4 linked regions of the Arabidopsis thaliana genome follow. The protein of the gene in region 1 purifies or fractionates together with the protein of each later gene. This does not show direct contact. Each region holds a gene or a part of one and is shown in the gene's direction. Other genes may lie near its edges. The genes, in order: PDLP1, MDAR1, AT1G57720 and EMB2719.

Region 1 (6,900 bases):
GTTCTTCTATGGTTGCAGCTAGCTTGTGATCACTAAATCTCGCAACAGTTGTAGGAGAAATGTCATTGGTAGTACCATCAGCAGTACTTACTGTTTCACCAGCCTTCTCTTCCACATGTCCATTTGATTTGTCTATCTCAAGCATGGAAGAGTCCCCTCTATCTACTGAATCTACAGAAAACGTACAAGACACATTAGTTTTGGAGAAAGTAGCTTCAACAATCATAACAACAAAATGAGCAATGCAAATAAGATTTAGTTACTCCTATTTACAAAAAAGTACCAGGAATAGAACTGAGAGGCATATTTGTAATGGGCTCGACTTTTGTAAGAATGAGCTCACCAGCATCATGGTCATTTTCAATTGGTACAGGATGATATGGCAATAGGATCGGAGCATTTTCTTCGTCATTAATTGAAGGTCCCTCTAAAGTCGGACTGCCCAAGCTAGGGCTTGCCAAAGCAGAGCCTCCTTCACCTCTGCGTCGCAGCCTCTTTAAAGGGCGATCAGACTCAGCCATAACATCTTCGTCATCCTCGATAGACTGATATTACACAACAGAAACTGAATAAACAAGAACATGAAGACACATTACTCTAACACAGCAAAGATATTCAGTTTGCCATACTTCATGGAGCTTTTTCTTTCCTCTGTCAACTTCTGCGGCCTGAAAGATTGGATCAACAACAAAGTGAAGCATGGATAATAAAGCAACATTGAACTAATAAATGGAAGATTGTTTGGAAAAAACATACACAGCCTTCATCCTCTTTAACTTCGTCTGCCTTCTTTTCTTCGCTTTCTTGAATAGCCTTTATATAAGTAAATCAATATGGAATGTCAAGGTAATAACAAAGACAATGATTACAACAGATTTACAAAAAAAAAAACAGTAGATCAAAGAGAGAACAAAGAAAGATACCTGATCTTCATGGCTATCGAAGATAGCATCAGCAAGAACCCTGTAATTGTCTTCAGCAATTAACTCCCAGTTTTTCTCGTAAAGGGCGAGAAGGTTTTTCAAGACCGGCTTCACTCGCGCATCCTCTATTCCCATAGCCCTCATAGCCATAAATGCTTTCTTGATATGCAGATTAGGTGCCATCGTTTCTGCACCAACAAAACTAAAACTGATTGTGGGATTGCTTTCGTGAAACAAGTTGTAACTTCTCATTTGCCTCGTCCTATCAAAATGCGGAAGAAACAAGATGTGAAGAGCCGTTCAGTAAGGAAATAAATGTGGCCAGAACTCAAAACATTACAACAATAAGCAAAGACAGACCTAAAGCAAATCAACAACAAACCAAGACTACAGACATCTACCTAGCAGCAAAGACTAACCACAAGTAGCAGAAAAGACTCAGAAATTGAATATCCTAAGAAAGTTGAAACCTTTCCTCTTAAGAAAACACAATCGCACAAAGAAACTCTAACAAAACGTTGTTTTTTCTCTTCCAGAGAGCTAATAGCGTTTTCAGATGACGATGAGACTCAAAAAGGAGAAGACTTTCGTCGGAAATTAGAAGAACTTACTAAGTACAGAGACGAGAGGGTTAGGGTTTAAAGCGAGCTCGGTACAGAGAAAGGATTCCACGATTTTGACTTACTTAGTGAAGAATCTTGGCCGTAATAAGCAAATGACAACGGCGTAGAGACAATGTCGGTGACGACGGCAGAGTATTACGTCGGCGCGTGAGAGTACACGCGAGGACAGTGCCAGGTGAAATTTCGTTTCTTTCTCAGTATCTTGTTCGACTGTGACTTTTTGTTGACCCTCTCTCTTTCTTCTTCTTCTCTGCTTAATGGGCCGGGCTTAATTGGGTCGGGTCAAACTCAATAAATAAGCGAATCTTATTGACCTCTTAAGATTTGTTTTTGATCTTACTACTATCATGTGTATGTAACTATGTATGTCTCAAATTCTCCGGTATTTAAATCCAATGCAGGCAGTTCTGGTAACCTTATTTTATAAAAATTATTCACTAATATTGTATAGGGAATCTATACTTAATTAAGAGTTTCACATATCTTTTACAGTATACAGTATTAGTTCTTTCCTTTTGTAGTCTTTAACTCTTAATGATTTTGAAACATTGGGGAACACCTCTACTTCTCCGAGCAATCTTTTTTTTTTTTTTTTGGGCAAATGCTTGTTTTCATTCATCTACAAGAGAAAACAAGTACAAAGGTAGAAGGATTCTAAGATCACAAAGTTTTAACATACAACAAAGATAGGCATTCCCCAATACCATAAAAGGTAAGCAAAAGCATAGGTAAAATACATCAACAAAGGTTCCAAGAGAGCTATAATCCAAACACACAAAGGCAATTTGGTTCTTGTGAGATCAAGGGTTGTTGACAAATCTTCCACACTCACCAACTCAAAATATATCATATAGAATGTGAAATCCAAAATCCTGCAAAAACAATCATGCTTATCATTAACTCAAAATAATCATAGTGATAATATCTTTTGTAGTTTACAAAAACACACAGGTTTATTATTATTTACTCCAGTTACTACGCAATTATGTTCTGAAATTATGTAAACTCAAAACGATCATGTTTTGTTTTGTTTTGGACACAAAATAAAATCGAATCAATCATTCACATTTACAACAAGGTCTAAGATTTTATTTTCCTTCTCGTATCAGCCTACAATTTAAATCAAACTCATCAAAATATATCTTAGTGCCTTAAACAAAAAATACATATACACAAAAGGTGTTTTTCCATCAATGTCCTAAAACAAAATCCAAATTCAGACAATAAAGTCAGATTTAATGGCATTAAAGGTTATTCACTAAATTCAACAACAAAAAAGAAGAAACAGTAATCATTTTTTTTTGATACTGTATTACATAATCTCCTAAACCAAATCTATATAATAAACACTTGTCGTCTCAAAGTTTCTTTCTTTTTTATCTTACCCTTGAAGCAAGATCCAAAGAAAAGTATACTCCTTTATTTTTCATGGTTTCATACTACAAAACCTGCTCTTATTTACATTTTTTTGTCTTTAAACCTCAAAACAAAAGACAAAAAAAAAACGGAAAACTTTCTTTTTTCCGGACACATAAAAACAACACAAACTTTATTAGACAGAAACAAACTAGTAAAAAGATTTTGAACATCAAGAAACAAAAATCTCTCTCTGTCTTTCTCAATTATGAAACTCACCTATCAATTCTTCATCTTCTGGTTCTTTTTACCATTCTTTGCAATCTCCGGTGATGATGATTATAAAAATCTGATCTTTAAAGGTTGTGCAAATCAGAAATCTCCAGACCCAACTGGTGTTTTCTCTCAGAATCTCAAAAACTTATTCACTTCTTTAGTTTCTCAATCATCACAAAGCTCTTTCGCTTCCGTAACCTCCGGAACTGATAACACCACCGCCGTGATCGGTGTTTTTCAGTGCCGTGGCGATCTCCAAAACGCTCAGTGTTACGATTGCGTCTCCAAAATCCCTAAACTCGTTTCTAAACTCTGCGGTGGCGGCAGAGATGACGGTAATGTGGTGGCGGCTCGTGTTCACCTCGCTGGATGTTATATCCGGTATGAGAGTTCAGGATTCCGGCAAACTTCCGGTACGGAGATGTTGTTCCGTGTCTGTGGGAAAAAAGATTCTAACGATCCTGGGTTTGTCGGGAAAAGGGAGACGGCGTTTGGTATGGCGGAGAACGGCGTGAAAACTGGATCATCCGGTGGTGGTGGTGGCGGAGGAGGTTTTTACGCGGGGCAGTATGAGTCGGTGTATGTGTTGGGACAGTGTGAGGGTAGTTTGGGAAATTCAGATTGTGGGGAATGTGTGAAAGATGGATTTGAGAAAGCAAAGAGTGAGTGTGGAGAGTCGAACTCGGGACAAGTTTACCTTCAGAAGTGCTTCGTTAGCTATAGTTACTACTCTCATGGTGTTCCCAACATAGAGCCATTATCAGGTATACACTAATTAAATCACTGTTATATTTTTCCTTTTGATATAATACTTTCAGATGATTAGAAAATTAGTTCTCTTATTAAAGAGTTTTAATCGTATAGGTCGAATTGGTAACATAAAACGGTAAATAAAAACTTTAGCGCGAAACAGAGTAATAGAAAAATGGTGGAATTTAGTAGTATTGGTATATAATTAGTTGGTATCACTGTTTATGTTTGAGGTATGAATTAGTACGGTAATATACTTGATATGAATCGAACACATATATGTATCTTTAGTTGAAGTATGAAAAAACTTTTTTCCATTTTAGCGACATATTTTATCTCTACGGTAAGGAGTTATTTAATCGAATAATAGTGAGTGTTAGATTTTGTATACAAATATTAATAGTTCGGTGATAGTTACACACACATGAATCTCGTATAAGAATGTGTATATCTTTATGTAGTTTCGTTGTCAAGTAGACTAAACAAAAACTAATGGAGACAAGACGAAAACAAAGAACTAGTAGTGGAAGAAGATATTAAAACCGAAAAACTAGTGGGGAAATAGATTACTTCGTTATAGAAAAGAAGAGATTTTTCCAAATGTTAGAATATTGACACATCATTCAGGTTACATGTGAGTGAGGCTAGCTAATATTTTTAATTTAATTTTCTTTGATAATTAAAATTTGAAATAAGTAATTATAATGGGAATGGCCATTAATGGGTGTTTGTGTGTGTGTGTAGGTGGAGAGAAGAGACAACACACAGAAAGGACGATAGCTTTGGCGGTGGGAGGAGTTTTTGTTTTAGGGTTTGTGATTGTTTGTTTGTTGGTTTTGAGGTCTGCCATGAAGAAGAAGAGTAATAAATATGATGCTTATTGATTCTTATTTTTACCTACCAATTCTTATTTTCCCAATTAAAAATTTAACAAGGTATATTAGAAAAATGATTAGTATAGCATGTCCAATTGTATATTCAATTATGATATTGATTTAAATACAAATAAATTTTGATTTTTTTGGAAAATTTTGGATGATATAAATACAATATTTATTAAGCTATTGGAATAATGAAGGATTAATTTTGTCATTTTTTTCTTTTGTCTCTCTGTCACTTAGTATCTAATTTCTTTCAAATCTTTCATTTTATTTAATTGCCCATTGAAAGATGAAAGTGATTCCTCAACTTACTGATTAATACTTGTTGTTCTATTTATTTCCAATGATTTAGATCAGATAAAAACCATACCCACTATTGAAAACAAAATATTAAAAGTAAAATGAAGCATCAAAATAGAAAATTGATGAAAACGAGAAAACACTAACAAGAAGTAAAGCAGCAGCTTTTTCTAGTGAAATCCAGTTTCAGTCGTTTTCATTGGGAAAGAGTGAAGCTTTACTGGTATCTCACTTTGGAAGTTTGGAGTTAGTGAGATTCACAGTATCCAACTATACATTTCACTACATCTATAAAACTTCTATCTATAGCATATAAAGTGATTGTGACACTATTCAAAGATATGCACGATTATGGTAAATGAAAAATCTTTCTACACTAGATTGTAACTCTGATTGATTTCAAAATTTGCAAGGCGCAGCAAATACATGGAACTTCAATGACCGTTCTTTTACTCAATACTCAAACCGGGTTAGGTATGTTTCAAAGAAAAAAACAGTTTGACGGCTGATAATCTGTTCTTCCACCACTGTTATGGTTAAGTTAGATCATGAACATGATTTCCCAAACCAAGAGGAGACGTGATAGACTTCATCTTTGACCCTAGACATAAGCTGAAATATCTTCTTTCAGCTTAAACCCTTTAACGAAACAAACACATAACAATTTGACAATCACATCAAAACATATCAGAAGGAACTAATCCCAGAACTCAAACTTCATCGCTCAAGTACCACAAACTAGAAGAAGACTAGTCTGTTAAAGGTAGAACCATTCAAATAAAGTGAAAATTAACCATATAAACAAGCTTCAGAACTCTAGAGCATTGAATACGCTTCTAGCATCACTTAAGTTAGAACCTGAACATGATTTCCTAAACCAAGAGGAGACAGGACTCACACACAAATCATCTTACATATAGATCTCTAAACCAAGACAGGACACACACACAAACATATCAGAAGGAAGTATCCCAAACTTGTACAAAACTCCAACTCCATAGCTCTCAAGTAGATGATCGCCATTCATACAAAGTGACAATCAACCATACTTAGACGCTTGAGAACTCTATGGAATCAACTTCATAGCCTAAAGATGCTAAATTTAACTAACTTCTTGCAATAGAAACAATTTCAACTGAATGATGAATCCGAGAAACCAGAATTATTGATTGCCAAATCAATCTCAAGATAATATATAAAACAACAAAGCCTGAACTTTATGAATCCAACGATGTGAATTAAACCACTCTTATACGAAATTCAAATTCAAACAACAACATATAACCAAAAAAACTCGTAAAACAGAGGACCCTAATCCATAATAAGGGATTCTTACAATCCCCTTTGCATTGGAGATGGTGGAGCTCCGAGGAGACTGGCCTGTTGAAGCTCAATTTCGTTGATTTGTGCCTCTCGATCCATCTCGATGATCAATGGAACAACAAGTATGAGAAAAGTTGTCCCAGCGATCCACGCTGCTTTTCCGGTGCTCCGGAGCAGTTTCTTCGATACTTCGACGGCATCTCCTGCTGCGCGTCTTCCTTGGGACACGATCTCGGAGTTTGAAATCCTCGCTAATATGTTTGGATCTCCGCCGCCAGATTTACCGGCTCCGATTCTCTTCGCCGCCATCGAGTGAACAAAAGTTTTTTTTTTTTTGCTTTTTTGGGTTAAAACTTTCTGAATCGCTTCGGAGAGTGAGAGGATAGTAACGAGGGTTTCTTCTATCAGTAGGATGAGTTTTGTTTACCATGATTTGGGCCATTAAAGTCCAATATATTAATCAGCTCA
Region 2 (8,123 bases), on another chromosome or scaffold:
TGATTCTTCTAATCGAGCTAACTCAATCGGATTATATCAATAATATATTATAGAACTTTATTAAATAGTTTCTTTTTTTTTTTTTGGGCAAAACTAAATTGAAAAAATAATAGGGAAAAATTGAGGAAAAACCCCTTTACAATCAGAAATCCCATAAGAAAGATTATCTTGATGAAAAGATTAGTTTAGTGTAATCAATAAAAATAAATAATTACAGTATTTCGATCGTCGTATGTCTTAATTTACTGCGAACACATGGTAGTAGGTAAGATTGGTGAGAAGATAAAAATAGATGTGAATGCTTTTAAAATATAACGGTGGAGCAATATTGTCAGAATAAGACAGGTAGCCAATGCGCAGTTCTTTTCAAAATGTTTTTTCGACAACACTTCTTTCGAAGAAATAACGTTTTTATTTTGTAGATTCATATAATTTAGCAAACAAAAAAAGAACACTGTAGATTGATATGTATTTTGAATATATATTTTTAATCAGTCTTTCAAATTCATAACTATGGAACTATACTAGTACCATTTTACCTCAAAGTTCAGACATCAGATCATAAGATAAAAGTATTGAACATACAATTAAGAATTAGGCCTGTTACTAACTTAGGAAACATTAATGATTAACGAACGATATGTTCAAATTTAAGCAGACGAAAATACTACAAATCAGTCTAATGTATAAAATATTTCTGATAGAATGACTATCAGAAAGATAATAAAAAGTGGAAGGTGACTGCATTTTTATAGCCAAGCCGAGACTTTTTCGTGGGTTACTTAACTAGTTTATAGTATTTATATTTAGTTTTAGTTTTAGTTTGGTTTTATCAATTGTATGTGAAGCGGTAATAGATTAACATGATCATAATCATTTTTAGGTGTGTTGACTTTGTGTATGATGGTAGGTCAATGGGTCATATATAGATTACTTTGGATCTCGTTGATAAAGCTTATACACACGCAGGCAAATCGATCCTTTTCCTCGGTACAATATACAATGCGATTGCAATTTACAAGAAATTAGAATACGTTTTTCCACGTAAAACAGTAAATTATATGCATCATTAATTACAAATATCTCAAATAAAAACTAAAAACCATTATTGCTTCATTAGCCACCCAAGACAAATGAATTAAAAAAATAAGAAAGAATGAACTAGAATCTAATAGAAGATGCATAGGAAAAATCAAATAGAGTCTAATGGAAAATGCATAGGAAAAATCAAATAATATACAACCGTAACCATAAGATCAAGAAACATAACTTAATGATACATGATCGAGATTAATAACAACAAAGTACTTTTGAATCTGGCAAAAAAGCCTAAATCATACAGTTGGAACGTGGTGTTAGGAAATAATAGAGACTTGATAGGTCTTTGAGAACCCTTTGAGCCTAGGATTCCTCTTTCTGCGCCTTTAATCTCTTCCCTCATGCTTTTAATCCCCATTAAATATATTGTAAACACTAAACTAACACAAAAATTAGATGTGTTACGTCCGCTTCTGATTTCTTATTTAACTTAAACCAACCATCAACATCAAAAGATTTTATTATACAAACATATGCATGCGCATATTTAAATATATCAATGGTCCTGCTAATTATTTTATTCGATTTTTAAAAATATTTTGCATCTTTTCAAGAAAAACGATTGATGGAACCCAGATTTTTTCGTTTAAGATCAATTTGAACCATCATTCAATTTTATTTTTTAAAATGTGAATTTTCATTAATAGTGTACAAAATACAAAAAGTACCCATACTTTTATATATATTAATTTAAAAAATAAATTATTTTCGCGGTGTACCGCGGATTAAACTCTATTATATATATATATATATACTTATTTTTGTATCTCAAACATTTATACCAAGTTATGATGCAATGACTGCACTAATACTATGAGCCACTAGATTAAATGTCTTTGTCGCAATATTTCATGATGTGTATATATAAAATTTAGGTATGGATGTTTATAATTATTGCGTGGACGGCGAACAAGAAACAACGGTGCACAACGACAAATGATTCGAGTTATGTATATTCTTGATAACTACTATTAAACAAAACAATATCAATAAGAACTAAGATCTGAGAAATGAGAATCCGAGGAAGATGAGATATATAGGGTAATCAAATTAGATTTGGTAAAAGAAAAAAATAAAAAGAAAGAGAACAAGCTAGAGAATAAGGCAACAAGTATAGGTTTCACATGTTTGTGTCGACAGGCCACACCCCCATAAAAGGCTTGCTTGGCTTTTTTGTCATTGTATGCATCTAATCCACTCCACCAATTTTTTCTCCTTCACTTATTAATTCGATTTTTTAGCTATACACAGTATTTTGAAATTTGAACAATTAAAAATAAAAATGAGCATTCATCCAAATGGGTTATTGTGACTGCCTATAGTCTTGGATGGGAATGTGTAAATTTTAGTTCCTTCAAAGATTGATACTTATTACGTACAGATTGTAGTAATAAACCTATTTACAAATATAATTGCTGATAAATCAAAATTTATGGTTGTTTTAGTCGAATTGTTAATCATGTGATGGTCAAATGGGTTATCATGTGGGTCGAAGGACTAAGCTTCATGTTTCTTGAATTTTGTTATTTTGGGCCTTAAGAGGTCAGGAAAAGAAGCCCAATAATCTAAAACCCATCATTTGTGGACTTTTCCACAACTTATCCAATAACGTGGCACATTTGTGACTTTTCCACCAACTATTTTTCGGGTTAATTAAAAAAGACTTAAGAATCAATCAGTCCTTTATTTCCGTCCTTAATTCTTTTTACTTTCCACATATAGCATGAACCACGACGGTTGGATAAATTCAACGGTCACAATATTGCCACGTGTAAGCTTTGTATCTACATCCTCCAATCAACGGCCAAGTCTTGGTTAAGTTTTAGCCAATTAGAGTCACTCAGCTCATATTAGCCTTTTTGCTCTTTCTTTGCTTCTCTAACAAACCAACTTCAGCGACAAGATAACAAAACGCTTTCACACGATCGGATAAAATGGCGGAGAAGAGCTTTAAGTACATCATCCTCGGCGGCGGCGTCTCTGCCGTGAGTATCTTCCTTCCTCCTTAAGTTTTTTCAGCCATTGCTTTCGATTTTCGAAGAGCTTGATTCGATTTGTGTTGCGAAATGCCACAATTCTCGTAGTTTTTTTGGCTTGGAGTTTGTTATTGTTAATCAGATAGCGATTACGATGATTATAGATTGTGATTCATAGATTTAAACGTCAGATCGGCGGCTCTGCTTCTAGTTTCTAGTATCGTTGAGATGAATTTACAATCGAAACTTGATTTTGAATCAAACAATCGTATGTTGATTGATTGTTTTTTCGACGTAAAACATGGATGTAATCTGGTTTCCTCTGCACAGAGCATCTTAAAAACTTCCGATTCAGTTCTAGTTCTTTTGTTGTTGTTAAGTGTGAGAAAAGTGTATCTCTGCAAAATCACTTGCAGATGGTTAATAGTAAGCATAGTATCATCAGGATCCTCTTTAGTTTATACTAGCTCAGATTAATCGTATAGTCACAGATGTTAATGAAGAAAATTCCAAAGAAATAACTAAATACAGAAGCAAATTCAACTCTTAACCTTTGTTGTATCCTTTTCTCCATTTTTGTGTGTAGGGATACGCAGCTAAGGAGTTTGCCAATCAAGGGGTTCAACCAGGAGAATTGGCTGTTATCTCGAAAGAGGCGGTAAGCTTCCTCTCGATTTGGAAAACTGTGATTATGCAGTGTGTCTTGTAACCTATGATATGATGATCCTTATGTGGACTTGTCTTCTCTAATCCTCACACCTTATTTACTCTATATGGTGGCTTAGGTGGCTCCATATGAACGCCCTGCACTTAGCAAGGGGTATTTGTTTCCTGAAGGTAAGACAATTTTCTACTTTACTTTGCTAACTACAACGTTTAATTTTGATTTGCTGAAACTTGGCTTTGGTTTATGCTTTTTATGATAATCTTTTTTTGTTGCAGGGGCTGCTAGACTTCCAGGTTTCCATTGCTGTGTTGGTAGTGGTGGAGAAAAACTGCTTCCTGAATCCTACAAGCAGAAAGGTAATGAACTGTCTGCAACATCACCAATATCAATGCCCTGCTCATCTGTGTAGTCCCACTGATCTATTATAACATTACATTACTCTCTATACAAGCTTAATTACTTATGTTATTGGAACTAAATCGTGCTATGATTTTTTTGTTATCCATTGTGTTTGTAGGAATTGAGTTGATACTAAGCACAGAAATAGTGAAAGCTGATCTCTCTGCCAAGAGTCTTGTCAGTGCAACTGGGGATGTCTTCAAGTATCAGACGCTCATAATTGCAACTGGTTCTACTGTAAAGACTGATATACTTGCATTTCTCACATCAGAATGCTTCTTATGAATTCTATTACAAGAAGAAAGTAACTCTTTACCTTCCTTTGCAGGTTCTCAGATTGACTGATTTTGGAGTAAAAGGTGCAGACTCTAAGAATATCCTCTATCTGAGAGAGATTGATGATGCCGACAAATTGGTTGAAGCAATTAAAGCTAAGAAAGGTGGAAAGGCTGTAGTTGTTGGCGGAGGTTACATTGGTCTTGAGCTTAGTGCAGTTTTAAGGATCAACAATTTAGATGTCACTATGGTTTTCCCTGAACCTTGGTGCAGTAAGTTGACTAGTATCCTTTTGCTATTCATGTAATATATGACATTGTTACACGTAATGAAAACAAAATGTTGACGCAGTGCCTAGGCTTTTCACCGCCGATATTGCTGCTTTCTATGAGACTTACTATACAAACAAGGGAGTGAAGATCATTAAAGGAACAGTGGCATCTGGGTTCACAGCTCAGCCAAATGGAGAGGTAATCAAAGAAACATTAGCTAATAGAGTGGGCAATCCAATTTAAGTTTTGGTTTGATTTTATAGAAACTAAAGTCTAAAACCAAATTACAATGTTATGTTTAGGTTTGGTTTCGTTTGACGAACTCGATTAATTAGCTTTTCCAAATGGTCTCGTTGCAAATGTCTTACTTGTATTATATAATCCTCCAGGTGAAGGAAGTACAACTCAAGGATGGGAGGACATTGGAAGCCGACATTGTGATAGTTGGGGTTGGTGCAAAACCATTGACATCCTTATTCAAGGGACAGGTCGAGGAAGATAAAGGTGGAATTAAGGTATTTATCTGCTGCCTGTGCGTCTCTTCTTCTTCTTATCCCGTACCATTCTGATTTGGATCTTTTAAATTGACTGCTTAACTGTTTCACACAGACCGATGCATTCTTCAAAACAAGTGTTCCAGATGTTTACGCTGTTGGTGACGTTGCTACTTTCCCTTTGAAAATGTACGGAGACGTGAGAAGGGTCGAGCATGTTGACCATTCCCGCAAATCAGCAGAGCAAGCTGTTAAGGTAAATAATGCTTACAATATGGCTGATATCGCTACACCAAAACCCTATTAATCCATACCATAAAAAATGCAACGCAAACTCTTGAGGCCTAAATCTTATAGATTAACATACAGTTGTATATATCTGATGAAGCGTTTATATATGTGATACATTGTGGCAGGCGATCAAAGCGGCTGAGGGAGGCGCAGCGGTGGAGGAATACGACTATCTTCCATTCTTCTACTCTCGCTCCTTTGATCTCTCATGGCAGTTCTACGGAGACAACGTAGGAGACTCTGTGTTATTTGGAGACAGCAATCCATCAAACCCAAAACCAAGATTTGGAGCATATTGGGTTCAAGGTGGTAAAGTGGTTGGAGCATTCATGGAGGGAGGTAGTGGTGATGAGAACAAAGCCTTGGCTAAAGTCGCCAAAGCTCGACCTTCTGCAGAGAGTCTCGACGAGCTCGTGAAACAAGGAATTTCCTTCGCAGCTAAGATCTGAGTGAAACACAACCACCAAAACAAACTCACGTTTTCTCTTCTATGTTAAAATAAAAACTTGTTTAGCTATAATAAGTTGTGTGTTTGTATTGTCTCTCTAAACTCCATGAGAAGAGTCTACGGCAGAGGAAACCCTGAACCACATTCACATTTTAGATCATGTGTTTGGTTTTCTGTGTTTCAGTATCTGTCTTGGTTTCTTAATGTGAACAACTCCAAAACCACATTTACTGTAATCTCAAATGAAGGGAGTAATTTACAATATGAAAGCAAATGGGCCTTGAAATAGTAATTCGTAGACTCTAATGGGCATTGGACGACCCTTGAAATGTCAATTCGATCTTTAATTGGACATCTCTCATTGTTCCATGTCCTCGGCTCGACTAGGTTTTCTTAGAATTAGTTTTGATATATACACAAACCGAAGAAAACTTGAAAATTTTGAGTTAGAAATTCATAAATTTAACATGATATTAGTCCCTTTTGCTAGTGATAATCAAATTTATTTCCAGTCGTAGAGTGGAATTCAGTTAAATCTACTCATTCTAAATATATTAGTTAGGAATAATGTTATTTATAATGTGGGATTGTGAAAGCAAATATTGATTAATGTGAATGAAAAGATGAAATACTATGAGCGTCAGATTCGCTTTTTGGATTTTCTCTTTTTGTTGGTTAAAGATTGAACAAAAACTTAGCAAAAATTGAACTGCATTTAAGTTATTTTCTTTGTTCGATTTTGTTAGTAATTCTTTTGGTTTAGTTTTAAATAGTATAACTTTGTGGTTCTCTGAAAGAAAACTTGTTTGGACACTTATAAACGCTACGATCAGATTCATAATTTTAAAGTAATGGGAATTACGTTGGGTATGTTCACATGTGATGAGCCAAACTGTTATTAATTAGCATAACGAAAGATGTGATGCAAGATGCATATTCATAAAGTTTGTTGGTGGGGCAAACTCTATTAAGTATGGAGGTCATAGTGTTAGGTCTTCGTCTTAAATTTAAAGTAAACTGGAAATAAATAAGACAGTGAAGCACAACCAAAATTTTCATTTAATATCTCTTATTTTTGTGTGATATGCTTAATTTGTGAGGAGGATGACGAATAAACTGATTTTATGTGTCTACGTTTTCCCCCCTAATAAAAAGACAACAAATATGGTGGGACATTTATGACTTAAAAGAACAATCAACCTAATCCACTATTTAGAATATAAGTTGTAATTTTTTTTTTTATTAGTCGACGAATAGCTGTAATTTGTGTGTGTGTGTGTGTGTATATATGACGTTTTTCAGAATTAACAAGTACTACAAATCTATGATCAGTTCAGTTTCAAGGTTATTAATCGTGTTTAAGAAATTTATCTTCTGAAACGTTTTTATTCAGATCACATCTTTCATCATCATCATTATCCTCTAAGATTTAAATTTCTTGTAACCGATAGACAAAAACAATATTATTTATATAAGATGCGGAAAAGTTTAAGATGCGTGGTGGTATTTAGTTGAATGCCCAAATGTGTAGTAGATACAGTCGTCTGCTAGAGACTTTTGCAGTAGTTGAATAGCAGATTTAGAAACTTTTGAAATGTGCTAGGAAAAATTCATGTGAATCCCTTTTGGTGGAAAGTAAGTTGCATAGCATCCTTCGATATCAGTTAAATAATGCAAGAAATGGAGGCGTATATATTTTACAATTCTCTTGTATATATCTCAAAGTTATAGACATACTAATTAAAGAACACCTTATTTTATATTGTCATGTCTTTCTCATGGTTAAATGAGTAAATCTTTCTGTGGGCCAAATTATAACCAAGTTCACTATTGCATGCATTAATTAATGTGAAATTACTTATAGAATGACACAAATCTTTCATTTCATTACTAAACTAACACCTACTAAAGTAACAAAACTCGTGTACGCTTTTAAAAGTTATGTTAGATTGGTCAGATTATTTTTTGATCAGCCGATTTTATTGACCCTTTCAACGAATTTGTGTTTTTTCAGTTTTGGTAATGTACATTGTTTGCCCAAAAAAAAAGAAAAAGAAAAAAAGAAAAAGGTAATGTACATTGTATTTTTACTCAGCCTGTGTAGACTTATGTAAATTAGTTCCATTAATTTAGAAATCTGCGACTCGCTGCTATTAGTCATCATATGAGGTCGAGAACTATTTAACAAAAAACGAGTGACTC
Region 3 (7,960 bases), on another chromosome or scaffold:
TCTGTGGCTAAACATAATTTGGTGAAAGCAGGGCTATGATGGTGAGAAGAGAGGGAGGATTCAGTACTCAGGACCATTGATTCCAGGAGAAGGAAACTTGGATGAAATGTTGAAAGAACATGAAAGACAGATCTTGTTGGCTGTACGACGAGCTCAAGCCGATAAGGCTAAGAGAGACGATAACCGACAGGCTCAAACCTTGTTTCCAGCTAATGGAAGGTGATATTTTGGGGGATTTATTCAAAATGAGTTTCTTAGAGAGAGTAGTGCAACAATAAACAAACTTTTTGGCTAAAAATCTGATGATGGTTCTTCATCATACTTGCATTTTTTTGTTTGTTAGACTTGTATGGTTTAGAAGAAAGGTTTAGGATTTAGGATCTTGAGTTGTATAGTCAAATTGCTAACAGTTTATCTGATTAATGTTCTCCATTCTTTTGGATAATCTAATAAATCTTGATCATAGAGAATAAAGATTCACCAATCACTAAATCCTACTCTGTAGTGAAAAGTGAAAACGATGTTATTATTCGTCAACGAGCTCTCAAACTAAAGTTTAGAAACCTTTTTCTATCTCTCTCATTAAAACAGATATCGAGAGACTAGTTTCGTCTTGACTGCATTAAAAGTGAGGCGTTTTCAATTTCATTCTAATATAAAAAATTAAAAAGAAAAATATTTTTCCACTGCCGAGCTTTGAACTCGGAAATCAGATGTTTAGACAGCTGTTTTAACCATTGTGCTACAGCGGATCTTTGTATAAATCAACGGATTTTGAGATAAATCTTTTTTTTTATCAACCACAAATTATTTAAAATATAACTTCATGATTGATTGCCTAATTTGGAGAGAAATAGTCTATAAAATAAATTTCCGAAAGCAGTAAACGAGAAGAGCGAACTAAACAATCCACCTTACAATTATATAAACGAGAAATATAAGAAATCGAGAAACCGGAAAATAACACACAAAGCATTCTAAACTCATCTAGTAGATTGGATAAAGTGGGTCATTCTTCAAGAGACTGCACCATCGAAGACTAACTTCTAACAATCTGTTTCAAAAGCCTTACAATCAATCCTTCTTGAAAGGATATTCTTCATAACCCAAATTAAAACTTTCATCTCCGAGTGTAGGGAGGAGGGACACCTCCGAAGACACTTTGCACCAAGAAAGACCCTTTGATCATTTCCTTGAAAACACCCAAAGATTTTCATGAACCATCAATCTAGTATATTAGAGATTGAATTGGATTAGCCAAAATTTTCCTATTAACATCGGGCCATAACTGCTAATGATCCTGACACAATTTGTCATAGAAATTTTTTAATTTTAATTTTTGCAATATTCTTTATGAAACATATGATTCTTTATGAAACATGATTCTTTATCGCATTAAAAAAAAGATATTTTCTATCGGGCTTTAAACCTGGCAATCAATTATCAATGAGATACATTAACCATTATGTTACTGCAGATCTTGGAGTAAACCAAAATTTTTTTAGATAAATCATGAATTAACCATATTCTTTTCGAAACAAAATATCTTTGAGTAAAGCAACAAATCTTTAGATAAATCATGAATTTACAGTATTAGGATTCTTTTTGTAACATATGAATATATTTTGTATATATATATACATCAATGTAAAGAATTACATGCATAAGTTTTTTTTTTTTTTTTTTTTTTAGCAACATGCTTAAGATTTACTATTACATATTTGAAGCTAAATCTAAAATTGTAAATAGTACGTTTTTAGGTTTTACAAAAGCCTTCAAATTATGTGGAATATAAACCCTAAATATTGAAGAAAAGTTATTCAAATTCTGCTTGCAAGCTCAAGAAAAATAACATTCATCATATTTTCTGCAATATTCAGATTATTCGTTGATCACCTAATATCAAAGTATTTCTTGGTTTTTTTTTTTTTTTTTTATAAGCTGCATGAATCTTTCCACTGTTTTAATTAAACTATGTCAATCGAATATGCGGAGCTGAATCGAATTTTATCCTTCTGACTTAATATTTCTCACACTCACTCACTCTCTCAATCTCTCAAGAACCACCAAAGAAAGAAAAACAGAACAAGAACAGAGGATCCAAGAAATAGGAAGAAGAAAAGACGTGAGGCTTTTACGATTTCGGGACTTGATTGAGATCCCTACGTTACGTAATACTTGCAATTCACTATCTTCTCAGTAACTGAATTTCTCACACGAAATTACATATGTTAAAATGTATATATATATCATACACAAGATGGATCCTTGCTCTACCTTTTTATAGCATGCTTTGTTACAACAACTTTTTTTTTAATTTGGTTGTTGTAAAACTTTGTTTCAACAATTATAACAGCCTTTTAACATAACATGGACATTAAACCAAACCTAAAGCGAGTCTACAGCAGCTCAATTATCGGTTCTAATCCGATATGCACATAGCCAACCCACGGTTAAAAGTTGATTTCATTTGATTTCCATCACCAAGGTCAACACTATCAACGTTTTTTGTTTTTTTTGGTCTAACTATCAAAGTTTAATTTCCCATAATATGAAGCTAACCATGCAATGTTGTAAACCCGAATTACATTTTGGTTTCTTAGACTTGATGATGAGTTGATGACTAATTGAAAACAAATTTAAGAGCTTACTAGTGTTCTCTCCAATGCTTCTTTTTTTTTAAATTGGAATTGATCACACACATATATATATTTACGCATATATGTATATATGGATGTGAACAATTAGTATTATTTTACAATAATAGTAAAAAAAAAAATGAACTTACAAATTACAAACCAAACTTGACGATATATGCATGCTCTTTGAGATCATCACACGAGTTGGTCGGAGCCACCTTTCGCAGTCTTGTCTGCTTCGGCTGGTCCATGTTTTTTCTCGGCTTTACTATCTGCGATTCTCTCTCGAGGGCTACACAAGATTCTTCCCAGAAAATGGGAAGCAATTGCCAAGAATATGATCACTATGACGATCAAACACCATTGCCAGATTGGAACCTCCATATCTTTAGTTTGGATTTTTGGTCACACAAAGTAAACGCAGTGCAGAAGAAGAAGAGGCGGAAGATGCTTGAAATTAAAGTTGTTGGTACTGTTGACCAAAAGGAGTAAGTTGTGAAGAAATGATACGCAAAGACTTGTGGAAGGTAACCAATTTTGTAAACTTCGTAGAAGAAATCGAACTCAATAAAAAAACATCTATATATGTATGACATACGAACAATAACATAGTTTAGTGGACCTACCAATAATGCCCTCTAATAGTTTTGGAAGCTACTTAATTAAAAGATTTTATTTCATTTTCACAAAGTGAAAGAAGGGTTACAAAATTCATCAATTTTGTATTTATTCAAACCCATACTTGGAGTTGGTGTATCAAAAACCTAATTATATTAATTGGCATTGTACGTGGTAACGTTTTAGTTTACATCTATGGATCAATCTTGCATAATAAGTTAATAACCCTTTTGAATTTAAAAAGCACAACACAACTTATTTTTAAAAAGGATATATCATTTTCGGATTTAAAGTTTAGTTTGTATGGTCTAAAACTTTGTTTTTGGTTGTCGTTTAGGATATCTTGGAGAGGAAGAAACCACATAGAGACATGAATCAGAGAAGTAACTTTGTGAGGTTGCTTCTACGAATTTCGATGAACTAGTGTTTCTTTTTCTTCTTTTTCAACAACATGCGAGTTTGGCACACCAAGGATATGGATACAACCAACTAAACTACATATCAAAATGGCCATGGGGAAATGTCAGCAAAATCTGTCAAAAAATGCAAAAACAAAACTCCAACTTTACTTTGGGTAAAACAATACGCTAATTTTTATTATGTTATACATAAATGCAAAAGTTATAATCGTTTAAACCTTAAAAATAAGCAAACCAAATTTGACAAAACCAAAAGCTAAACCGAATCAAACGAAAAAGGAATATTCTCCAAAACCGACTTCACACAGCCCTAATTTCCACACTCTAATACTATTTCTCGCCGCCGCTTTTGTATCTTCTTCTCTCTCGCTTTGCTCTCTCGGAATTGTTTTTGCAGAAAGTCTCTCGTAAGAATCAATCTATCAACTTCTTCTTCATATACGCTTCTCTCGTTTCAAAATTTCATCGACGATTAACTGATTTTTACTTGGTGTTTTCTTTGGTAACTAGATCTGAACTCAGAAAATCTCCGAGTTCGTATATCTTCTCCGTTTGAGCAATGGCGTTGGTAAGTACTCACTTCTGAGATCATTACACGTTTCATCAGATCCGTCACGATTGGTTTTACTGATCTGTTGATGATAGTTTATGAATTTTGATTCATGTATCTTAAATCTGGGAATATAGTTTGATTTTAGAATGATTTAGGTATCTTGGACGATTGTTTATTAATCTGAGAACTGGATTTTGTGTTGCATTGAAAAACTACTTTGGATGAATATAACTATGCAATTTCTGTTGAGTTTCATTGATGAAGTTTGTGTAAATCATACTATTTATCAGGTCATGCACACATACAAGGGAAACAAAGGTGCCAATAAGGCACTTATTGCTGCAGAGTATGCGGGTGTGAAGATCGAGGAGTCCGCAGACTTTCAGATGGGCGTCACTAACAAGTCACCTGAGTTCCTTAAGATGAACCCTATTGGAAAGGTATGGAATCTCTTTCGAGAAGTTTTGATTGATGTTTGCTGTAAATTCCTAGCTAATAAAAGATTATGATCCCACTAGGTTCCTGTGCTTGAGACTCCTGAAGGTCCCATATTTGAGAGCAATGCCATTGCCCGATATGGTATAACTTCATTTCCTTCTGTTTCTCTTTGATGCACCTATCTATAACTTGGTATTAATTGGATATGATGATTGTTTTGTTATCCCCCTTCAGTGAGCCGTAAGAATGGTGACAACTCTTTGAATGGATCCTCCCTTATTGAATACGTAAGCTCCTGTTTATCCAATGGCCTTTCCTTTTAAAATTATCGTACCTTTGTGTTTATCTCTTGTTTACTATCATTGATTCATGTCTATGTGCATGTGTTTACTTTTCAGGCTCACATTGAGCAATGGATCGATTTCTCCTCATTGGAGATTGATGCTAACATGTTGAAGTGGTTTGCTCCAAGAATGGGCTATGCTCCCTTCTCTGCCCCAGTAAGCTTTCCCTCATTTTTTGTGCCTTGTCTCATGCACTCTCTGTACTAACAAATCATGCTACTCCTTACTCGCTAAGATTAGTATTTGACTAGTCTAAGCTTGACTAATCTTTTTAATGGTTTTATCTGAATGAAGGCTGAGGAAGCGGCAATTTCTGCATTGAAGAGAGGACTTGAGGCTCTGAACACACATCTCGCCTCCAACACTTTCCTTGTTGGACACTCTGTCACCCTTGCTGATATTGTCACAATCTGCAACTTGAACTTGGGATTTGCCACCGTGATGACCAAGAAATTTACCTCTGCATTCCCTCATGTTGAGAGATACTTCTGGACAATGGTTAACCAGCCAGAATTCAAGAAGGTGTTGGGTGATGCCAAACAAACCGAAGCTGTCCCTCCAGTTCCTACTAAGAAAGCTCCACAGCCTGCTAAGCCCAAGGAGGAGCCCAAGAAGGCAGCCCCTGTAGCAGAGGCACCAAAGCCTGCTGAGGAGGAGGAAGCACCAAAGCCTAAAGCCAAGAATCCTCTTGACTTGCTACCACCAAGCCCAATGGTTCTCGATGACTGGAAGAGGCTTTACTCGAACACCAAATCCAACTTCCGTGAGGTTGCTATCAAAGGTATGTTATATGATGACTTCTGTTAATTGTTCTTTAGAAGAAATTGTTCTAGGTTTATGGAATCAACTTGTTAAGAAGAAAGCTACAAAAATCCGAGACAATGTGCTGTGACATCCTTATAATACCAGTGCTTACTAACGACTCTCTAAACAATTCACAGCTGCTCTAGTCTACTAAATTGCCTCCTAAGCTAGATATAGTAGACTTAGAGGGGTACTCACTATGGTTTATGGGACATGTATGGCCCAGAGTCTGAAAGTACATTCTATTAAGCTCAATGCCTTGAATGTTTTTCTTCATTGCAGGATTCTGGGACATGTATGACCCGGAGGGGTACTCACTATGGTTCTGTGACTATAAGTACAACGATGAGAACATGGTCTCCTTTGTTACACTCAACAAGGTAGGAGGGTTCCTTCAGCGTATGGACTTGGCACGTAAATACTCCTTTGGAAAGATGCTTATTTGCGGGTCAGAGGGTCCTTTCAAGGTGAAGGGTTTATGGCTTTTCCGTGGACCAGAGATCCCCAAGTTCATAATGGATGAGGTGTACGACATGGAGCTGTACGAGTGGACTAAGGTTGATATCTCCGATGAAGCACAGAAGGAGCGTGTTAGCCAGATGATTGAAGACGCTGAGCCATTTGAAGGCGAGGCTCTTTTGGACGCCAAATGCTTTAAGTGAAAAGGCTCTTTGTATCTCCGTAGAGGTTTACTCTGTTACTCGTGTTTTGATACCTTCTAGAGAGTCCTTACCACCTTTTGAATCGTACTCGGGTTTAAGAACTAGTTGCTTCTCAATGTTATTTTGACAGAATATTGTTCTTAAATACATTACAACTTCTAGTTATTGTTTTTATTTTGTTTTTTATTATCCAAACTCGTGTGTGTGACATTCTCTCTTTAAATTAGTTGCTTGGAAGATGCAAAGAATCTCGTTTAATGGGGCATACTGAATTTCATTTTAAAGTTGTAATATTACACGTCTCTAACTTGTCTCTAACACGTCTCTAACTTGATGATTCAGATATGTTCACTAAAACCCAAATTCCTTTTAAGCCAATCGAATGTTGGTCTACACAGCAACATTTAAGAGATAGGTGTAAGAAATAGAGCCATGAGGTGAGCTTATAAGGAGAGTGTATGTTGAACATGTTCATAGATATTAGGTCCGAGAGGCTTAAAATCACTCAAGTTTATTAAGATGAGAAGATATACCAAGTAAACCTAATTCGTTCTCTACAAAGAGTTTAATGACCAAAATAAACAAAAGGTAGATTAAGATCTTGTCTTAAGAAAATCAAATAAATCGAATCATTACTATATTATCTCAAACAAATCGAATCATTACAATATCATCTCAAGAAAATCAACAAATCATCATTCTTAACCTAAAAACCCTAAAAAAAGAAATCTTCATGACTCTGTTTAGGAGTAGTAGGGATAATCGTCGTCATCTTCATCTTCAAGAACAGTGCGGCAGAGAGGGCACAAATTACTATGACCCAACCATTTGTAGATACAGTCATTATGAAAGACATGGGGACAATTCGGCATCTCCTGATAGTCATGTACATCCTGTGACATATCCTCCAAACAAATAGCGCATGTCTTGTTTTCTAGAGGAGAACTAGAAGTGGATTCTTCGACGAATCTCACTGTGACGTGAAGGTACATGTCAAACGGCGCTGGAACTCGTTCGGATGCTAAAGCCATCTCAACGCAAAGACGAGTGCCTGAGATACTGTCTGGAAAGATTGTTTCGAGGAGAGGAGAGGTCTTGTGTGGATCAAAGTTAACGACGTCTTTTAAGATAAGTTGAGTGATTTGGAACAGAGGAGCATCATCACACTTGTCGTCGCTCTCACGCTTGAGATTGATCTCCACTGTATTCGATGAAGACTTGCGTGGACTCGGAAAGACGTTAACATCAATAGTGATTTCTGGAACCATTGTTGGTTTTTGGAATTAGAAGACAAAGGTATGAAACCGAACAAGAGACGGAGGCAGAGAGGAAGTGATGGTCTTTGTGTTGTGATGAATGTTGTTGACAAGTGATCTTGTGTTTGTTGTTAATTTTATAACTAAACCTTAAGTCGGCGATTTCCATTTTTTTTACAATTTCCTTTTTTGTAATCTCGTTTTTGTTTTTACAATTTCCTTTTTTT
Region 4 (8,227 bases), on another chromosome or scaffold:
AGCTTAATGTATAATAAACCAAAAATTCTTCAAATGCTTCTCATGTTTTGTATAAACGATAAAAATTAAAGTATTAAAAGTTTTATACTGATGACAAAAAAAAAAAGAAAAAGAGAAAGAGAAAAGATACCAATGGTTATTGCTGGTCTAATCCTCGATTTGATATTTAACCGGTTTAAAGTAAAAACTTAAAAACCGGAAATCGATTAGGGCAGTTCACTGGTGCATGGGTTTGTGGAAGAGAAGTTGTGCGGCTGTTATATATATCAGAGAAGCGCCTTCAACAACCGCCTCTTAGGGCGTATAAAATCAGAAACAGAAACGAGACAAGAATTAATTCTCTCGTCCAAATTTCTTCTGGGCAGAAACCAACATTTATCCTTATCCGATTCTTCTAGGGTTTCGGAAGATCTAACCAGAACCTTCGCAACAAGGTAAGCATTCAAGCAATTTACTGAGGATTTAAGAAAACCCTGTTTCTTCTAAATCGTGGATTGAACGAGAAACCTTAGTTTCCATCGCTGGTTACATTTTTTTGAGAAGGACTCTTCTGATTTTGTGTTGCTTTTCAGATGGATAAGTATCAGAGAGTTGAGAAGCCGAAGGCGGATACGCCGATTGCTGAGAATGAGATTCGTATCACCAGTATGGGTAGGGCACGGAACTACATCACCTATGCGATGGCTCTTCTTCAGGTATTGCGAAAAGATGATCTGGTATTCATGGTTCTATGAATTGGTGTAGTGATGAGATTTGGTACAGTGTAGATTATCTATATGATATAATTGTAAGTTCAAAAAATGCGGTTTCATAATCCAGTTGCATTTATGTTATTTGGATGCATCTTGGTGATTTATATCAATTTCTTACGTTTCGTGTCGGATTTAGTAGAAAACTTGTACATGAATTTGCTTTCTCAAAAGTGCAAGTTATTGATTAACTGTTTTCTTTAATTACTTTCTCGCTGCTTGCTATTCAAACTTTTTTAGTACTTAGTCATGTGATTAGTTGATTTTTTGACATAGAAATTTTGCTTTTGCTTCTTCTTGAAACTTTTGTTTTTGTAACGGAAGTTGTTTTGTTATCTTATAGGAAAACAAATCGAATGAAGTTATCTTCAAGGCTATGGGAAGAGCTATCAACAAGAGTGTGACCATAGTTGAGCTGATTAAGGTATTTTCTGGTTTTAGTCTGTTTCCTGATCTCAGAGTTGTAGTTCTTTTGTGTATCTGAAGATTATATTGTTATCCTTGATGCAGAGAAGGATTCCTGGTCTTCATCAGATCACATCTATTGGATCAACGGACATTACAGATACCTGGGAACCTACAGAGGAAGGCCTTCAAACGTATGTGGTCACTAGACTTTAGTATCAAGTTTATTGTTTTAAGTGTACCGGAACACATGTAACCATGTTGTATTCTTAATTTTGTTACTTTGACCTGTTATTTATTAAAACTCATCTTTTTCTCCTGAAGAATTGAGACCACGAGGCATGTGTCGATGATAACCATAACACTTTCCAAGGAGCAGTTGAACACATCCTCAGTTGGGTGAGTTTCTAGGACTGGTTGTTTTGCTATTTCTCGTCTATTCTCTTATTGGGGATTTTGTTGTTTTGTGTCTAGAGAGGTACATTGTCTCCAATGCTAATATATCTTATTAAATAATGCTATAGGTACCAGTGTCCGATTCCTATTGAGATGGTGAAGCCATTGGCTGAGATTGACTACGAAGGGCAAGGTATTTTAGAGTCTCACTCTTAATGACGTTTTTAAGCTCCCTGCCCTGCTGTCTTTTTTAAGTTTTTAAATTATCTCTTTCTTGTAGACGGATCTCCTAGAGGCAGAGGAGGAAGAAGAGGTAGAGGAGGAAGAGGAAGGGGAAGGGGAAGAGGTGGTAGAGGTAGGATTACTTTAGAAATTGTTTATACAGTGTCGTAGTTTCGTTGTAAGCTTTTGCATGTGATTTGTGGATAAGCGTTTGAGTGGACTGTGCTAATTCCTTTTTTCGACTTATCAGGAAATGGACCTGCGAATGTTGAGTATGATGATGGAGGAAGGGGAAGAGGTGGCAGAGGTAGGATATCTTTAGCCAAATCGTATTTGAGTATAGATTTTTGCATATGATTTGTGGATAAGGGTTTGAATGTGTTGTGCTATTTCTTTTTTTGTTTGATTTACCAGGAAACGGATATGTGAACAATGAGTATGATGATGGAGGAAGGGGAAGAGGCGGCAGAGGTAGAATTGCTTTAGAATATTTCTTTCCAAATCTTAGTTTTACCTTTTAACATATTTGCATGTGATCGGCGGACAAGTGTTTGATTGGCTTGTGCTATTTCTTCTTTCGGATTTGCCAGGAAGTGGATATGTGAACAATGAGTATAATGATGGAGGTATGGAGCAGGACCGGTCATATGGCAGAGGACGCGGGCGTGGGAGAGGAGGTGGACGTGGTGGTCGAGGAAGAGGAGGTTACAATGGCCCCCCACCACCTTACTATGAAGCTCAACAAGATGGAGGAGACTATGGATACAACAATGTTGCTCCTCCAGCAGACCATGGATATGATGGTCCTCCGCCTCAGGGACGTGGTACGTTGATGATTTTGTTACACTAATGTTTTCTCATTAAATAATGATGAGTTGTAAATGTTTAAAAATTGTTGGAACAGGACGTGGCCGTGGAAGGGGAGGTCGTGGAAGAGGAGGAGGCCGTGGTGGATTCAACAGATCAAATGGAGCACCTATCCAGGCTGCTGCATGAGCGACCAGGGTCATTGAATGAAGTTGGATCTTTCTTACATTCTCATGTTTTTGTCTCTGTTCTTCAAAGCAACTTGTTGCCGTAGAATAATCTTTCGTTCATGTCGCTTTAGGTTATATATATCCTCATTTATTTTATCATGGATCTTGGATTTTCAAGTTTTTATTCCTTCAAGAGTTTTCTAGTTTTGTCTCTTTTTTGAGTTTTGGATATTTGTTTGACTCCAATTACATTCGTCGGCGTATTGACACTAACAAGTAAACAACCCCCTTTGGCATTGCCTTTTTCCATTGGTTCGTATATCAGTTGATTATATATTCTAACAACATAAAAAGATAACAAGAAAAAATAATGAATAATAAAATTGTAATTCCAAGTTCCAACGTGTTTTGAGACAAAAAGAAATTAACCCAACTTGCGCTGGTTGTGTTTTGGGCTATTCGAAGAAAGCGTACGAAAATAAGTGAGAGAGGTCCAAACAAAACTAGTAACCAAAAAGTTAATCGCCGTTGCCGGGGATCGAACCCGGGCCACCCGCGTGACAGGCGGGAATACTTACCACTATACTACAACGACATTTGTTGCTCAATCGTAATGTAGAAGATATAAATACTAATATGGAAAAAAGCTGTCTTGAACAAAAAGAAATATACTTTTTTTGTTGTGTCCAAAAAAAGGAAAATACTTAGGAAAGAAAAGAGTCTCAGCAGCATCAGCTCGTCCTTAAATCTGATCCATCATCGTCACTTTCTCCCGGCGAATTCCGTTTTATCGATTTAGTAAGCTCTCTGTCTTTATCTCTCCGTCTTTCTCAGTCAACAAATTGGTTGAAACTTCAATCGGTTCCTTGAAATCTCACCGGCTTAGTTGCATACTTCTGCAAAAACCCTAACCTTGTTTTTGTCTTTGTGAAGAGTAACGAGATTTGTGCAAAGATGACTCAGGACGTGGAGATGAAAGATAACAACACCCCTTCTCAATCGATTATCTCTTCTTCTACCTCTACTATGCAGAGTAAATCTCGATCTGAATGCTTTAATTCTCGAACTGTTTTCATAATTGCTAAGTTTCTTCTGGGTTTTGACGCTTTGTTTCTTTGTTTCCCAGATTTGAAGGAGATTGCAGCACTCATCGATACTGGGTCTTACACGAAGGAGGTTCGTCGTATTGCTCGTGCTGTGCGTCTCACTATAGGGCTTAGGCAGAAACTCACCGGCTCTGTGCTCTCTTCCTTCCTGGATTTTGCTTTGGTTCCAGGATCCGAAGCTCACTCTCGCCTCTCTTCCTTTGTTCCTAAGGTATTTGTGGGTTTTACTTCTTCACTTTGATGTTTCAGAATTCTCAACTTGGTTGTTCCTTTTAGCATCTGGCTTTAGGTTGTTTAGATTCGTGTTATGGTTGTTATACTTTCTTTTGATGTTGTGAATGGCAAGTTATCTAACATACAACTGGCTTAGAGACTGAAATATTGGAACTTTTAATGGTTTAGGGTGATGAACATGACATGGAAGTTGATACTGCCTCATCGGCCACACAAGCTGCTCCTTCTAAGCATCTACCTGCAGAGCTCGAGATCTACTGCTACTTCATTGTTCTTCTTTTTCTGATTGATCAGAAGAAGTACAACGAGGTAACTACTGCTGTATCTTTGTGTTTTGTCATAAGTTACTTTTCTGTTGTGATTTTAATTTTAATGAGTTGCTTTTAATCATCTCTTAGGCTAAAGCTTGTTCTTCAGCAAGCATTGCTCGTCTCAAGAACGTCAACCGAAGGACCATTGATGTGATAGCATCAAGACTCTACTTTTACTATTCTTTGAGTTATGAGCAAACCGGTGATCTTGCTGAAATTCGCGGGTTAGTAGCTCAAAGACTGTTTTAGTTTTGTACTTTGTCTTACACCTCATATTAATCAGTAGCTCAATAGTTAATAATCTGGTCATTTTTTCTACCTGCAGTACTCTTCTTGCGTTGCATCATTCTGCAACGCTAAGACACGATGAGCTGGGTCAGGTATGTCTTTGTTTAGCTCATTCAGTCGGCATTCATTATTTTGAAACTGTTACTTGCTTCTTATTCAAATTTATCATGTTGAATGCAGGAAACCCTTCTGAACCTGTTGCTACGTAACTATTTGCATTACAACCTCTATGATCAGGCAGAGAAGCTAAGATCAAAGGCACCTCGCTTTGAGGCTCATTCAAACCAACAGGTAGCTCTTGGCTATTCCTTCATACTCTAAGTTTTCTCGGTTCTCTAGATTCTATATTTGCATGAAAACTCCAATGCCACTTCTGCAATCTTTCCAGAGAATTATTTTTTCTATTCGCTATAGCATTTTCCATCTAGGAGGCTCTTGTGTTTTCTTTTCAATCACTAATTATTTGCCGAACTTACTTGAAGTGTCCATTTTGCCTGTCCTTTTCATACTTCTGACACCACCTCTTACCATTACCATCGATCTACCTTGTGTTTTTCTTTGCTACATATGAATTTTGTTCTTTTTTTAACCCTTCAATTGTTACTGTTTCAAAAGAATAAACAGCAAGATGACTTGTCTAAAACATTATACTTTGCAGTTTTGTAGGTACCTTTTCTATCTCGGGAAGATTCGTACTATTCAGCTCGAATATACGGACGCAAAAGAGAGCCTTCTTCAGGCGGCCAGGAAAGCCCCTATAGCAGCTTTGGGCTTCAGGATCCAATGCAATAAATGGGCAATTCTGGTTCGTCTACTGCTGGGTGAGATACCAGAGCGTTCTATCTTCACTCAAAAGGGTATGGAGAAGGCCCTCAGACCCTACTTCGAGCTAACAAATGTGAGTCCACTTTCATAATCTTGCTGCTGTGACATGTATTCATTAATTTATGAGCGGATAACTAAACTGGTATTAGTATGTGGTCACTTGTGATCTTGCTACTTCACTTCTGATTTTAAACCGGTTCCTACTTTTCACTTACTGGCCTATACACCTCTTCTGTTAAAATCTCTCTGTGGTCACTTGAAACACAATTTTGTTGCTGCTGTTGTTTTCTGCTCCTTCGAATTATATTGAACATGAATTTCTGGCTGTTTACTGTTGCTTTTTAGAGATATATGATGCAACTGGATAGTTGATACTGATTTTGATCTGAGGCTTACTATTAAAGCTCTGTTTTGATTTTACAGGCGGTTAGGATTGGGGACTTGGAGTTGTTTAGGACAGTCCAGGAGAAGTTCTTGGACACATTTGCTCAAGACAGAACGCACAATCTCATCGTGCGACTCCGCCACAATGTCATCAGGACTGGACTGCGGAACATAAGTATCTCCTACTCAAGAATCTCTTTACCCGATGTTGCCAAAAAGCTGAGGCTCAACTCTGAAAACCCTGTGGCTGATGCGGAAAGCATCGTGGCAAAGGCCATACGCGACGGAGCTATTGATGCTACAATCGATCACAAAAACGGATGCATGGTCTCCAAAGAAACTGGGGACATCTACTCGACGAATGAGCCACAAACTGCGTTCAACTCAAGAATTGCTTTCTGCCTCAACATGCATAACGAAGCTGTCAGAGCATTGAGGTTTCCTCCTAACACTCACAAGGAGAAAGAAAGCGATGAGAAGAGGAGAGAGAGGAAGCAACAGGAAGAAGAGCTTGCTAAGCATATGGCTGAGGAAGACGATGATGATTTTTAGACAAAGGTCATCTATTTCTTATAAGAGTTGACTCTCCATCTGTCTCACTTTTTTTATGTTCACAAGTTTACTTGGTACTCTTCTCATCGTCTCTAAGTGTTTCTTTATTGAGGATTTTTATCCTCAGGAACCTTTTTATTACTCTGGTTTCACTTTAGGAAAAGATATTTATCTTGTTGGTTTCAGAAGATCAAATTCAACTTCGTTTAATTGTGTTTGGGAGATTTTCGCATTTTAAGAATTGAACACTTGTAGTTATAGCTAGCTGTATTAGGTGGGTCATTATTAGAAATTGACCATGTGAAATGCTATCATCTCCAGGCGATGCATACCATTAAAATCCACATTCATAATTTACATTAAATGATAGATAAGCAGTCATAAATATCTAAAGAATGAAAACAGGACATGTGTATTGACCATTATGTGTATTGATACATTAGTCTATCTCTGCCAAACTAGGTCTCATTTTCTTGAATAAAACAATCTCATGTTATGCTTTTAATTATAGGTGTTTCTGGTTCGATTCATTAACTTCTTAATAATGACAAAAATCTGTAGAATAATACCCGGGCTCTTTGATAGCTACAACTGCCAACTATTTAATCCATACAATCAAAATGTAATTTTCATAATTGTAGATTTGTAATGGGTCAATATATTCTTACACTCTAATCATATCCAAACAAGCTCCTCAATTCCTTAATCTTGTTGTATCCAGTATCCATATTTTGTTTTCTTACTGCGGAAGTTACTTGGTAGTGTAGTCTGGATTTCGGATTGCAGACTTTGCAGTCCACGATTTTTCATATGTTGGTGACAACGAACAAGTGTTAAGTTGACGGAAGTGTTCGTAACAAACGACGTCGTGACGGTGATCTTCATCAACTTTGATTGGAAATCAAGTTTTGAGGGACAATTAACCCAAAAAAATAATCATAATGATAATGAAAGAGATTTGGCGTGTTGCTAATAATGTAGGACAAGTGAGCATGTGAGAGTCTGTGACCGATGAACCTGCTCAGACCAACCTGCACATGATTGTATCACAAACAAAAAACTCTCATTTGTCTTTCTTTCGTCTTACTTTATTCATTTTAAGCAAAAATTAAATATCCACCGCGTTGCACAAGAAATCATTTACCCATATGATTATTCTCTTAGTTTTGAATTTTTGATGACCATGCTGATTTAAAATTTGCAATCTTACAATAACTTTAACTTATGTATAAAAAAAAATGCTGCATCAACCAATAAAACAAAACTTTAGGATTACAAATGTTTGGCTATGAGTAAATCAAGATATTATCTGCTTCAAGTCTCTTTTTCTTATATAATTTCAGAGGAAAATGTTTATATATAGTTCAAAGCAATATTAGTGTAACCAAAGGTAAATTTTGTATGAACTTTTTGGAGGAATAGAAATCCATCTGCAGCATTATTACAAACAGAGTTTGCAGATCTACTGTCTTTTTTTGGACTTATACTGTTACTAACAAAAATACACATGTAAGAGATTTGCCCAAATAAATAAATTAAAGATACACACAGGCTAGATAAAGATAAGACCACATGTAAGGTTTTTGTTGCTATACTACATTAGTTTACACTCGCTTCCCACCTTTATTTAAACAACTCTCACCTCCTTCACTCGATCATCATCATCATCATCTCTTTCTTCTTCCAAAAGTCATAATCATGTCAAAGTCTCTAGCTGGATTGGCGGTTTTGGCCGCTCTTTTTATTGCGGTTGATGCGTTTAGGCCTTCTGGTTTAAC

The links.
Region 2: the proteins of PDLP1 (region 1) and MDAR1 purify together in Arabidopsis thaliana (affinity purification with mass spectrometry, with the first as the bait; one study listed by BioGRID). This does not show direct contact.
Region 3: the proteins of PDLP1 (region 1) and AT1G57720 purify together in Arabidopsis thaliana (affinity purification with mass spectrometry, with the first as the bait; one study listed by BioGRID). This does not show direct contact.
Region 4: the proteins of PDLP1 (region 1) and EMB2719 purify together in Arabidopsis thaliana (affinity purification with mass spectrometry, with the first as the bait; one study listed by BioGRID). This does not show direct contact.

What each region holds. Positions count from the first base shown.
Region 1 is NC_003076.8:17,692,729-17,699,628, reverse strand, and holds PDLP1 (plasmodesmata-located protein 1), read left to right. Parts: upstream 1-2,938; 5' UTR 2,939-3,170; coding exon 3,171-3,942; intron 3,943-4,672; coding exon 4,673-4,812; 3' UTR 4,813-4,949; downstream 4,950-6,900. Other genes in the region: SUVR2 (SET-domain containing protein lysine methyltransferase family protein), read right to left, coding at 1-171, 284-545, 630-668, 757-813, 924-1,175; TOM22-V (translocase of outer membrane 22-V), read right to left, coding at 6,442-6,741. UniProt on the Arabidopsis thaliana protein: Modulates cell-to-cell trafficking. Required for systemic acquired resistance (SAR) which is mediated by the signaling molecules azelaic acid (AzA), glycerol-3-phosphate (G3P), and salicylic acid (SA).
Region 2 is NC_003074.8:19,599,276-19,607,398, reverse strand, and holds MDAR1 (monodehydroascorbate reductase 1), read left to right. Parts: upstream 1-2,944; 5' UTR 2,945-3,032; coding exon 3,033-3,083; intron 3,084-3,404; coding exon 3,405-3,500; intron 3,501-3,660; coding exon 3,661-3,732; intron 3,733-3,859; coding exon 3,860-3,911; intron 3,912-4,016; coding exon 4,017-4,097; intron 4,098-4,258; coding exon 4,259-4,377; intron 4,378-4,468; coding exon 4,469-4,688; intron 4,689-4,767; coding exon 4,768-4,886; intron 4,887-5,077; coding exon 5,078-5,203; intron 5,204-5,297; coding exon 5,298-5,438; intron 5,439-5,598; coding exon 5,599-5,922; 3' UTR 5,923-6,186; downstream 6,187-8,123. UniProt on the Arabidopsis thaliana protein: Catalyzes the conversion of monodehydroascorbate to ascorbate, oxidizing NADH in the process.
Region 3 is NC_003070.9:21,373,638-21,381,597, forward strand, and holds AT1G57720 (Translation elongation factor EF1B, gamma chain), read left to right. Parts: upstream 1-3,682; 5' UTR 3,683-4,083; intron 4,084-4,097; exon of another isoform or gene 4,098-4,186; 5' UTR 4,187-4,235; coding exon 4,236-4,244; intron 4,245-4,519; coding exon 4,520-4,669; intron 4,670-4,747; coding exon 4,748-4,808; intron 4,809-4,901; coding exon 4,902-4,954; intron 4,955-5,065; coding exon 5,066-5,167; intron 5,168-5,305; coding exon 5,306-5,792; intron 5,793-6,097; coding exon 6,098-6,477; 3' UTR 6,478-6,742; downstream 6,743-7,960. Other genes in the region: AT1G57700 (Protein kinase superfamily protein), read left to right, coding at 32-223; AT1G57730 (RING/U-box superfamily protein), read right to left, coding at 7,221-7,745. UniProt on the Arabidopsis thaliana protein: Probably plays a role in anchoring the complex to other cellular components.
Region 4 is NC_003070.9:6,999,631-7,007,857, reverse strand, and holds EMB2719 (PAM domain (PCI/PINT associated module) protein), read left to right. Parts: upstream 1-3,425; 5' UTR 3,426-3,547; intron 3,548-3,682; 5' UTR 3,683-3,703; coding exon 3,704-3,782; intron 3,783-3,875; coding exon 3,876-4,066; intron 4,067-4,257; coding exon 4,258-4,398; intron 4,399-4,487; coding exon 4,488-4,624; intron 4,625-4,725; coding exon 4,726-4,780; intron 4,781-4,868; coding exon 4,869-4,979; intron 4,980-5,346; coding exon 5,347-5,586; intron 5,587-5,936; coding exon 5,937-6,449; 3' UTR 6,450-6,771; downstream 6,772-8,227. Other genes in the region: AT1G20220 (Alba DNA/RNA-binding protein), read left to right, coding at 573-695, 1,093-1,173, 1,260-1,348, 1,479-1,553, 1,679-1,743, 1,831-1,905, 2,023-2,079, 2,187-2,243 and 2 more; EXPA11 (expansin 11), read left to right, coding at 8,148-8,227. UniProt on the Arabidopsis thaliana protein: Acts as a regulatory subunit of the 26 proteasome which is involved in the ATP-dependent degradation of ubiquitinated proteins.